Drosophila melanogaster: one gene and its partners. The protein of the gene in region 3 interacts with the protein of the main gene of each other region in a pairwise test. Each region holds a gene or a part of one and is shown on either strand. Other genes may lie near its edges.

The links. Proteins that work in one complex are often made in the same cells at the same time.
Region 1: the proteins of CG15423 (region 3) and Marf1 interact in a two-hybrid assay, tested with the Drosophila melanogaster proteins (one large-scale study listed by BioGRID).
Region 2: the proteins of CG15423 (region 3) and betaTub85D interact in a two-hybrid assay, tested with the Drosophila melanogaster proteins (one large-scale study listed by BioGRID).

What each region holds. Positions count from the first base shown.
Region 1 is NT_033779.5:22,310,188-22,314,955, forward strand, and holds the start of Marf1 (meiosis regulator and mRNA stability factor 1), read left to right. Parts: upstream 1-1,739; 5' UTR 1,740-1,851; intron 1,852-4,768.
Region 2 is NT_033777.3:9,407,854-9,412,074, forward strand, and holds betaTub85D (beta-Tubulin at 85D), read right to left. Parts: upstream 2,430-4,221; 5' UTR 2,200-2,429; coding exon 1,807-2,199; intron 1,748-1,806; coding exon 800-1,747; 3' UTR 530-799; downstream 1-529. Other genes in the region: CG44261 (uncharacterized protein), read right to left, coding at 1-292; Task7 (TWIK-related acid-sensitive K[+] channel 7), read right to left, coding at 2,904-3,177, 3,233-3,633, 3,688-3,749, 3,816-3,971, 4,035-4,164. UniProt on the Drosophila melanogaster protein: Tubulin is the major constituent of microtubules, a cylinder consisting of laterally associated linear protofilaments composed of alpha- and beta-tubulin heterodimers.
Region 3 is NT_033779.5:4,004,288-4,007,118, reverse strand, and holds CG15423 (uncharacterized protein), read right to left. Parts: upstream 1,079-2,831; 5' UTR 1,007-1,078; coding exon 683-1,006; 3' UTR 513-682; downstream 1-512. Other genes in the region: CG15422 (uncharacterized protein), read right to left, coding at 1,749-2,063; CG34176 (uncharacterized protein), read right to left, coding at 2,737-2,831.

The DNA of each region.
Region 1 (4,768 bases), about 18 Mb from region 3:
CCGATTCTGAGGTAATTAATTATTTATTAATTTCTAACTGATTGCGCATTTGTCAACAATTTTCTACCAATTACGATATGCTAATTATCGTAACTGTGTACATGAAATGTTTGATTTATTTTTAAAATACTATTGCTGGGTAAGATAATCAAGCTTTTCGAAGTAGTAGGCATTTGATGTTAAAACTTCACATATACTATTTTGATATGTATTTTCCATTGATCATATTATTTGTTGATCCTGTATCTAGTAGGCATTTGTATGTGCACCCTTTGTATACTATTTTTATGTATTCGTGTTGTCGGGGCCGTTGACCGAAAATTTTCGTTTAGTTCAGAACCATTTTGATATATATATATTTTGATATATAATATTTCGTTATTAATTTGTACGGGTTGGATCGGTTGTTGCCCTTCATTTATGAACCCATGATTTTGATATGGATTGTATTGATTTTGGTCATAATACTGTTGTTCGTAATAATTAGGTTGGACTTGTTCGAATTCATGTGCGTCTTGGAATCTCATTTCGTCAATAGACATTTTGAAGTTAGAATTCTTAGTTGTGGAGGCTTGTTGTATTGTAGTTGAGGGTATGTATTTCTTATAAAATGTGCTGTTTGAGGATTTTGGATTTGTTGGAAATGACTTTTGGGAATACTTGGTTGAATGCTGATATATGGGCTGGACTTGAAATAATTGGGTGGTATTGATTAAAATTAGGATGGAAGGGTTGAGAATATTGTGGGTAACTTGGTGGATATTGATACAAATACCCAATTGTATTGAAGTTGTGTGATTTTGAATTCAGATAAGGATTTGAGTTTTATTACGGATTTCGAGAAATTTGTTCAATCCAAAATTATTATGTTCTTTATAAATTCCCTCACTCTGTGCAATAGTAAAGTCTGTAATATCACGATGAGCCAAAATATTGTAGTAAATAATTGTATTGGTAGTTATAAGAGTCACTCGTGGAGTCAAAAAGGCATACCAGATTCGTAGAAAAGTATGTAACAGTCGGGAGAAAGCGTTTCCGACTGTATAGAGCTTACATATGTATAAATATATTTGATAGGGATCAATAGCCGGAGTCGATCTGTCCGTGTCAACGTCGAGATCTCAGGAAATATAAGAACTAGACGGTTGAGATTAAGCATACAGATTCTAGAGACATAGACGCAGCGCAAGTTTGTTGACGCATATTGCCACGCCCACTCTAACGGCCACAAGCCGCCCAAAACTGTCAGTTATTAGTCGATTTGACAAAAACTTTTTGCCACGCCCACTGTAACGCCAAGAAGCCGCCGAAGTGGTCACGCCCACACATTTGAACAATTTTTAATTACTTCTCATTTTATTCCCCAATATCTATCGATATCCCACAAAAATGATAAAAATTTCGCGTTTGCATTCATACTAGCTGAGTAAAGGGTATCTGATAGTTGGGGAAAACGACTATAGCATTCTCTCTTGTTGTATATCTGTAAGTTCATTGGATGAATTGAATTTCCTCCCAATTTTTCCTTTTTTTATTTTTTTTTTGTTTGTTGAACAAGGTGCTTGTTAAAGAAACTACAATTGAGCCAAGACAATTTTATAAAACTACAAAAAGAAAAATTATTTAATCAAAATAATAAAAATTTAATTAACCCCAAACTTTTCAATCACCTTCCAGTGCCTATGCCCGCCACCTTCCAGCCTCCACACAAGTCATCAATGTTTTCTACACACGTAGCCTCCTCAGTTGTTTAAGGGATCACAAAGTCTAAGCTTCGCATGTGCCGTGTTGTTTTAAGTGAATTTTGAGTTTTATTGTCGTAAATTATATAATTAGTTCATATACAATCATGTAAGTACAACAAATATTAATAAATATTCTTAGTGGCATGACCATTAGTAAAATATTAATTGAATTACTATATTACTTAATCTAAGCCTATGATTATAGTACCAATATTAATTAAGAATGATCTATGAATAACGATTTTAATCATTTTAATAATCCAATGACTGGTTAAGGCTCTAGGCAAATTACTTAAACAAGTGCTAACGAACATTACATTGACTGCATTTCGCGCGGGAGTATACATATACATACACATTTTTATGTACGCACATGTATGCCAAGAAAATGGCTTAAAACTAAATTCATGTAGAATTTGTATAGTGCACGATAAAAATGCAACCCAAATTCAACCATAAGCACATTTATTTTGATGGTCTGCAGCACTTCGCAAGTTTTGAAACCAATTCGGATATTATATTTTAAATTTCCTTTTCGTTTAGTATTCACAAAATCCGACGATTTTAAACACATATTCATATTCATATAGATAGTTGAATTGAAACTGTTTTCCAACCAAATTGGTTGGAAATTGATATTGATGTGTGTTGTGGATTGGAAAGGAGGATGTGTCGTGTTGCTACGCGTGCATCTTATGAAGAGTGTTGGGATTTATATTGATGTACACATAAACATACGTAACAATTTAAGCTAGGGCTAAAACAGATTAAATAAATTCGAGTTAATAAAATAAAATGGCTCATTATGCACGCTTTTCGTATAATTTCCCGAGCCTATAAAATATGTACAGTATGAAGTGAGCATACACCACATGGCTTAAGCTTAGAAAAAAATATCTTTATTTTTTATTGTACAAAAAATTAATGATGTGATAGTTGTGCGGATGATCTTAAATCCTGCTCGTGGAAGCATTTTTTTATATCATGAACCTAAACAGGTGTCGAATTGTTGTTGGATAGTTTGCTGTTATCACTCGATCAGAATCTATATGCGAAAACAATTTTGCCCACGGCCACTCTACTTCAAGCCACTTCAACTTCAAGCCGCCCACACGTTCGAAAAATTATTTTATTTGTCTACAGTTTTTTTGACAATTTTAATCGATAACCTAATAAAATGAAACAGTACATTTTTCTTGTGCTCTCCCACTATCTGAGTATCCGGTATCAAGAAACTCGACTATATCGTAATTTCTTGTCTTACCTCTTAAGTATTAAGTATTACCTAGTATTAAAATATATATTTGAAATATGTATGTATAAGATGAGTGCTGTGTTTCTCATCTTCCTATATATTATGAAAATTACAAGCTTAAAGTTAACCGCTTAAGACAGATCACCATACGCTCCCTCGATTAATAATTACCTGGAAAGCCTGTTGAGCCTAGATTTTCTTCGCATAAAGTAAATGTACATTTTTTTAACTCTATGCCGCGGAAAAACGTTGGTAATTTGGAAAAATTATATTCCGCCTACAAAAGGTAATCCTTTAAGTAATCCAAATGCTGTGTGATGGTACAGGTGTTGGAGGTGACCTGGAACAACGGACAGACGGCGATGACAGAAATGGGGCGGAGTCATTAAGAAACCATTATAAATGAGGATTCAGTTTGGTTTTATTAAGATTGCAGCGCTTTCTAATTCGGAAGAAATGTTACTTAACTACTACTTAACGAAATTCTGAATATTGTCAACAAAATCTGAAGAAAAATCAATGTACAAAATCTTAACAAATTCTGCAGAAGTTTGGAAAGGTGTGAAAATGAACTTCAGCAAGGTTCAAAAATCTGAAAACAAATTAGTAAAAAAAAAGCACATGTAATGTTTTAATGTAACCAGGGAGTACAAAATGTGTATACATTTCAGGTAACCATGAAAGCAAAGTAATATTTGAAAAGAAAATTAATTAGCTTCCTAGGTCACATCCCCAACCGTAGATGTCTATGAGCAAACTTCTTTGCCCGAATTCGGGAGTCAAGGGAGTCAAGGGAATTGGAGACCTATGCGGTTTTCAGGCACTACCGGTCCACAATAAAGTGGGGAAAACGCATATGCGGTCTTAGCCACTTATTTCTCATTTTGGACTGGACTTTGTTAAGAAGGTAAATGCAAATATTATTTTCGTAAAGAATTCTCTAGAACATGAAAGCGGCACAATAATGATAATTGTATTATTGAATCGTCGAGGGCCTTGGCAACCGGGACCGGGACATTTGCAGACCCTTATCAAGCCATTCCTTAATAAAATCGCTACTATCCAATCCGATTGGGAACGCGTAATTATTAAAAATAACCTTTTCCCAATGGGCGTATCGCATAGGTCATAATCAGAAAATCGAGATAACCTTACAACAACCGCGTGTGTGTTTTCGATAAAAAAGGACATTGTGAAAATGGCAATAAGAAAAACGTATCGTTATCCATTTTAAGAAACTAAAGAACGCTATTGACGCTGAATACTTTACAATACTTCAAATTATGGGAAAAGCTCCACATTTTACAACATCGGACCTTAAATCGTAATTCCATCAAATCGAGTAATTAGAGAAATACAGGGAAACCCCTGAAATATTTTTTAATGACGAACTGCATTTCTACAGAACTACAGAACTGCATTCTGCACCACTCGGACTGCAAATTGCACCAAATTTTTTCCAAAGGACAATCGATGATGCTTTGCGGAACAGATCTTAAATAAACATGCTACGTGTATGTCGATGACGTCAGTTCTTCACAAAAACTAAAGATCATCAAATAAGATATAGAACAGAGCTTAAAAAGTTTATAAAAGCCGGCATCAGGCAGTCTCAAGAAAAGTAAATCGAGGCCTTCCAATCACCTACGTTGATTTACCAAAACTAATATTGCCATCATTCATAGTGATGATGCTCTCTCGTACCTTTTAACTGTTTCCGTAATCAAAAATAATCGCGGAAGCAGACTTCTCATCTACGAAAATCTTT
Region 2 (4,221 bases), on a different chromosome or scaffold from region 3:
GAGGATTCTTATCCATCTTTCGAAGGGAGTAGCGCGGTTCGTTGCTGCTCTCCTGGCTAGTGTCCAGACCACTATCCGTGCTGGTGTCCTGCGCCTCCACGTTCATCGAGATGTCCGTCTCCGATGAGTAGCTTGAGCTGATTGATTCTTCTAGATCAACATTTGTGCTATCCTGGTCGTCTTCCGACGTCGGTTTTCCACTCTGCAGTTGCGATATGGGATGCGGATTTATGCGCTTTCGGCCGCGCAGATAGCCACTGCGAGAGGTAACTGGAGTAGTCGGAAAATACATCTTGGTGCCTTGACTTCAATGACTTGAATGACTTGAATGATGACGGCCTGTCAGAAAGGAAAGCTGTCACTTTCGTAAGGCAACTCTAAAAAATGATTGCCAACAAAATATAGATTTTCGATATTGAGCGCTTAGCCTCAAATTCAATTCAATCCAGAATATTTATATATTAATGTTTAGGTTTATGCAATGCCTTTTGAACGGTATAAAAATATGCAAAATGCTGTTGGTAATCTTGTCTGCTTATAAATCAACATTTATTCGTAACCCAGAAATCACAGCAATTGCAACATGAGCTTAACAAAGGTGGACATATTTCTTCTGTACGTGTGTGAATGATAAATAATCGAACAGTGAAGAATCCATATAGGAAATATGTACAACCGACGGGCCTCGAAGCACAATATGCTAAGGCCCAAAGATCCAATGTGTTGTGCCTTCCTAATGGGTTCCCCTGCTAGCCTGTTTTGGTGTTCATGTGTGATCTTGAGTGGGAAGTTAATCCTATTATTCATCGCCGCCACCCTCTTCGTCTTCATCGAATTCGCCCTCCTCATCGGCAGTCGCCTCCTGGTACTGCTGATATTCAGAAACCAAGTCGTTCATGTTGCTCTCGGCCTCTGTGAATTCCATTTCGTCCATTCCCTCGCCGGTGTACCAATGCAAGAAGGCCTTCCTTCGGAACATGGCGGTGAACTGCTCCGAAACCCGTTTGAATAGCTCCTGAATGGCGGTGGAGTTGCCAATGAAGGTGGCCGACATCTTGAGACCTCTGGGCGGAATATCGCACACCGCTGTCTTGCAGTTATTCGGGATCCATTCCACGAAGAAGCTGCTGTTCTTGTTCTGAATGTTGAGCATCTGCTCGTCCACCTCCTTCATGGACATGCGGCCACGGAAGATGGCGGCGACGGTCAGATAGCGACCATGTCGCGGATCGCACGCAGCCATCATGTTCTTGGCATCGAACATCTGCTGGGTCAGCTCCGGAACGGTAAGGGCCCGGTATTGTTGCGATCCTCGCGAGGTGAGCGGTGCGAATCCGGGCATGAAGAAGTGCAGCCGGGGGAAGGGTACCATGTTCACGGCCAGCTTGCGAAGATCAGCGTTCAGCTGGCCAGGGAAGCGCAGGCAGGTCGTCACACCAGACATGGTGGCCGAAACCAGATGGTTCAGGTCACCGTAGGTGGGCGTGGTCAGCTTCAGTGTGCGGAAGCAGATGTCATACAACGCCTCGTTGTCGATGCAGTACGTCTCATCGGTGTTCTCCACCAGCTGATGCACACTCAGGGTGGCATTGTAGGGCTCCACCACCGTATCGGACACCTTGGGCGAGGGCACCACCGAGAAGGTGTTCATGATGCGGTCCGGGTACTCCTCGCGGATCTTCGAGATCAGCAGGGTTCCCATGCCGGAGCCAGTGCCGCCACCCAGCGAGTGGGTCAGCTGGAAGCCCTGTTGGAGAAAAGTAGGGTAAACTTTTTCAGATAAATTCCCAAACCCCCAAAACTTACCTGAAGGCAATCGCATCCCTCGGACTCCTTTCGCACCACATCCAAGACGGAATCCACCAGTTCAGCACCCTCGGTGTAATGACCCTTGGCCCAGTTGTTGCCTGCTCCCGATTGGCCAAACACAAAATTGTCCGGCCGGAAGATCTGGCCAAAGGCGCCAGAACGAACCGAATCCATGGTGCCGGGCTCCAGGTCCACGAGAATTGCGCGTGGCACATACTTGGCACCGGTGGCTTCATTGTAGTATACATTGATGCGCTCCAGCTGGAGATCACTATCGCCGTAGTACGTTCCGGTCGCATCTATACAGTGCTCATCCGAGATTACCTCCCAGAATTTACCACCGATCTGGTTACCGCATTGACCGGCCTGAATGTGTACAATTTCACGCATTTTGATAGTAAAGTTAGGGCCCCTTTTTCACACCGAAAAAATGGTACAAAAAAAAATCGAGCTTTTAAAACAGTCTGAGTGGGGCAAAAATCGGCAAAAGACTGAATATTTAAACGTATAATTTTTCAGGTTTAGATTTTAGTCGTGTACGTGCTAGCTGATACTGAGGTGAACTGAACCTGGCTTGGATTACTACACCGAATGTTCACAAATAGGCTACTACGATTTCCGACTTCGACACATTTCACACACCCCGATTTCAGAAAACTCAGTTCTCCGTTTTGAGCACAAACTTTAATAGTACTTACATAGATAAACGAATATACGGCTAAAATTCGAGATGGGATGGATTTGGCGGTGCCTTGGAAGCAATAGAGGATTCCAAGGCTACCGACCAGATGATACGATTGATATTGACATGGATGTCCTGGATTTTACTCCTTTGTAAATGTTTATATGGGTGTATAATGGGATGGGTCGATTATTTCTTAAGCAAAAACTGCCTTTTAAAGACTATTAACCTTGCTCTCCAAACTTATATGTATTATGACCCATCCTGGTTTAAAAATCTACGTAGGGAGGAAGGTTTGTCTAACAACCAAATTTTGGCGGCGGATGGTTCTCTACAGGATTGTAACTACGATTTGGTGATCCATTGGCTCTGGCTCCTACAATGAGGAGTCCCACAGCTGGCTGTACGGATATCAGACGGAGGCTCGCTTCAGGCACAAGGTGCTCTCGATAATGTCGGTAGGCTGAAAGTCCGGGTCCACGAACTGCTCATGATTCAGGCACCTGGTGCCACCCATGCAGGTGCAGGAACACAGGGAGGCGGTCTCATCGTTCTCCGTTGTGTAGTTGTTCTCCAGCAGCTTGCCGTGCATATTGTACGTGGACTCATCATCGAAGGTCACCGGCTGGGCATTTCCAGCCAAGTTCTGAGCATCCTGCTCATCTCTCTTGGCATCCTCTGCTTGCCTGTGATTAAAAATCCATTAAATAAGATATTTCCTGCAATAGAACATGGACTCACATGGTCATGAATCGGAGCACCAATAGATTGATACTGGCGGCCACCACGGCCAAGCCGAATAGGATGAAGACCAAGCTCAGCGCCACATAGCCAGGCTTATTAGTTAGAGCTTGGTCGTTCTGCAATGCCACATAATCGCCGAAACCAATTGTCGTCAAGGTGACAAAACAATAGTAGAAGCTATCGAAGTAGCTCCAACCCTCGTATCGGGAAAAGACTGCTGCTCCAGTGGTGATTATTATGGAGGAGAGCATTCCGGTGGCCAACATGAGATTCATTTCGGTGGCATCCGTACAGCGAGCTCCACTGGCTCTCTTTGCCCGCCTTATTATCACGGATGCAAACTTATTCAGACGTTCTCCGATAGACTGGAACATCACCAGACCCAGCGGGATGCCCACCTAATAAGGGAATATCTTTAGAAGACTGGAAATTGGGATTGTAAGTTCACTTACCATAGCATAGCCCATACAAAATGCTTTTCCCGGAATTGTAACTGGCGTAGAATGACCATATCCTAAAGAAAGTTACAACAGAATTATAATCTATTCAATAAATCATATTTAATAGATAATTAATTTACCTATCATTGCCAGTACAACCGTGCTGAAATAGAAAGCTCCAGCGAATTTCCACTGAGGTCCGGCCTTGTGGGGCTTATTTTCAATGATGACGATTTCCATCACACGGAAATCCTCGTCAGTCACATTGTACTTTCTAACAAAGTTGTTCTTAACGGCTACAATTGATTAAATAAATTCATTACTAAGAAATTAGGTTAATAAATCAACAAGCTTCTCACTCTGTAGGAATTCCCATCTTTTGGCCTCCGTTGGTGACTCCAGGGAATCGAACACGGCGGCTCCAATTAAAAGATAGGTGAAAGTGCATACCACCAGGGAAAGGGTACGGACATTCTGTCGCTTCATCATATAGTCTCAAATATAATCACTACGATCTATAATCAATTAATATATTTTGCACCACGC
Region 3 (2,831 bases):
CGTTATAATAAAGCTTAAAATATGTTTATGTACTGACAGCACTAGTTGTACAATAATTGATAAGCTGGCTACGACCAGAGGACATCAATCATTTCCCACCAGTCAGATAGCAAAACCGAAGCCAAATAATATATACAAAAACCACAAAAAATCCACGAAAGCAATTACCCGTACGGAAAATAGAGAGTGGAAAAGGAATCATGACCATGACCATTGTTTATGTCGTTCGCCTGCAGTTCAATTTTCATATTTGTACCATTAACATTGCAAATAAATGCAGGCATATATATTCGCAATATGAAAATGTGTCACAGCAAGAACCGACATTGAAAACCAATCAAGTATATTTCAATTAAGGTAAAGTGCATTTAAGTTATTTAAGCAAATATTTCGAGCGGATTTACAATTGCATTGGCAATAAGATTGAGGCAAATTAAAATGTCAGCTTACATGAAGAAATATGTGCGTAATATATAGTATACTATAGTATATAGTAGTATAAACACGAAATTCAAACATGAAGGAGTGAACTGTTTATTTATTTTTTATTTTTATTATACAAGAGCTTAGGTTTTGTAAAAAGTTAGTTTATAGTTTCTATTTGCAGAAATACATGAAGTTTAATAAATATTTTTAAAGTTTTTTACTTCGTTGTTGAACGACGGTCATATGGAGACCACGCCTACCACCTGGGCGGTGGGGGCTGCTGAACGATGATGACCTCTTCCCTGGGAGGTGGACGCCGACCGCCGATGTTGAACTCGATGAAGGGAGCTCTTGGTGGCACCACATCCACCTCGATAATGGGTCGTGGTGGTGGCGGCTGGTAGACGGCAGCTGGTGTGATGACCTCCACCCTGGGCGGTGGTGGTGGATACCGGCCGCCCACTCCGATCTCAATCACTGGTCGAGGAATCCTTGGCGGCACAATGTCCACCTCTACAATTGGCCTTCCACCGTGATGGTGATGATGGTGATGACGACGTTCCTCCTCGTAGTACGGCATTTTCTTCAGAAACTATCCAAGTATTGTATCCTTAGTGGGTGAAGTGAATGCCTTTGACTGCTTTCTCGAACTGAACTTGCTTCTTCGCCTGCTTAACTATTTAAGTCAATTTTTATCGCTAATGAGGGGGAATTTTTTTTCCTAATTTTGTTATGTGCGTTTTGCACAGTAGCTTAGTTGGTTATCTTGTCAGGTGGAATAAATGTGTTTTTTTCGATAAAAAAAAAATAAAATTGATAAGTGCCATTTGATAAATACGAAATTCCGAATTGAATTTCATGAGGAGAGTTCAAGGTTTCCATGAATCACAATTTTATATTTAAGAGGAAGGACTTAATTCCATGCTTCTGATTGATGACTCACACTAAATTACATAAACATAAATAAAATCGATAATGCAGTATTTAGAATATTTTTAGAATTAAAGACGGGTAGGTTTTTTGAAGAGCAAGATATTTTATTTATTTCGTTTTAAGGTTATATAGCACAATTATATTTTCTTTGAAACGGTTAAAGTTAAATTCCAGTTTTGTTTTTTTGTACCTTCCTCTGGTTATTAACTTGTTAACTTTGTGGTGCGTAATGTCAAGACCATTGCACCATTTGCGTTGTCATTTCAACTTAAGATTAGGACAAAGTGATATTTGTTTTGATTTCTTGTTATCTATCCCTTCCTTCACTCCATCGATAGTATATTTTTTTTTTGTTAGTGGTGATGGCTTCGTTTCCATTCCGACCTCGTTCACCACTGCGGATACGGTGGATTGTTGTAGGGCTGCTGATACTGGTACTGATACTCGTACGCCTGCTGCTGCTGCTGCGGATAGTATCCATTGGTGGTGGCCACCGTGACGCCGCCGTAGGGTTGCGGCATTATCACCTGTGTGCCGGGCACATAGGTAGCCGCCGGGGTCATGTAGACTACCTCGGCGGGCCGAGGCGGAGGCGGCGGCGGATAGTAGCCGCCACCCCAACCGGGAACCACATCAATTTCGATATTTGGACGACCATGGTGATGGCGAGGAGGATAGCCACATGGATCTTCATAGTACCGCATAGTTGATTAACTAGCCAAATAATCAACCAGCCAACCGAACCAACTTCACCACCCAGCAACGCGTTGAATACTGGAAAGTCCGTGGCACAACACGTCTAGCTCGAAACAAACTGGAACTGCGAAGCTCCATCAATCAGGGTTTGTGGGAATTATTCCAGTGGTTAGAGGCAAAGATAAGATGGCTTAGTCATTCGACAAGGTCTGATAACAGCGACCGGACAGTTGTGCATTTACAGGTGATCGGGTTTCGCTATTTTACTCGCATTTTGTTTACTATATTAACTGATTCCGGCTTATCTATGGGTAACGCGTTATTATTTCTGATATAGGAGCATAGAAGCATTGACAGAGCATTGGTGAAAATGAATTAAAGTTTTGCTAGACATTAACAAAACAACAAGTGATTGCCGTCTAAATTAACCAGGTGTTCCGATAAAGACTTAAAAAAAAAAAACACGGATTAGAGATTTTGATAATAAAAAGAGGGAGTGTGTGTGATGGAATCAACTCGATTGAAACTCAACCATTACTCATGACAAATATGCAAAAAAACTAAAAACTATAAACTAAAACTTAGTTTATAAGGTTATACTTTATTGAGGACATATAGTTGTTAAGTAAGGCTACGTGGTATAAATTCATTGTGAAGGATTTTACAGATCAAAGTTCCTTCTCAATACTGTGGATTGTGGTAGTGGCTGCTGCCGGGCGGTGGTGGTGGTGGTGGATTTTGGTAGTACGGTGGCGGAGGCGCCTGTTGCACCACCA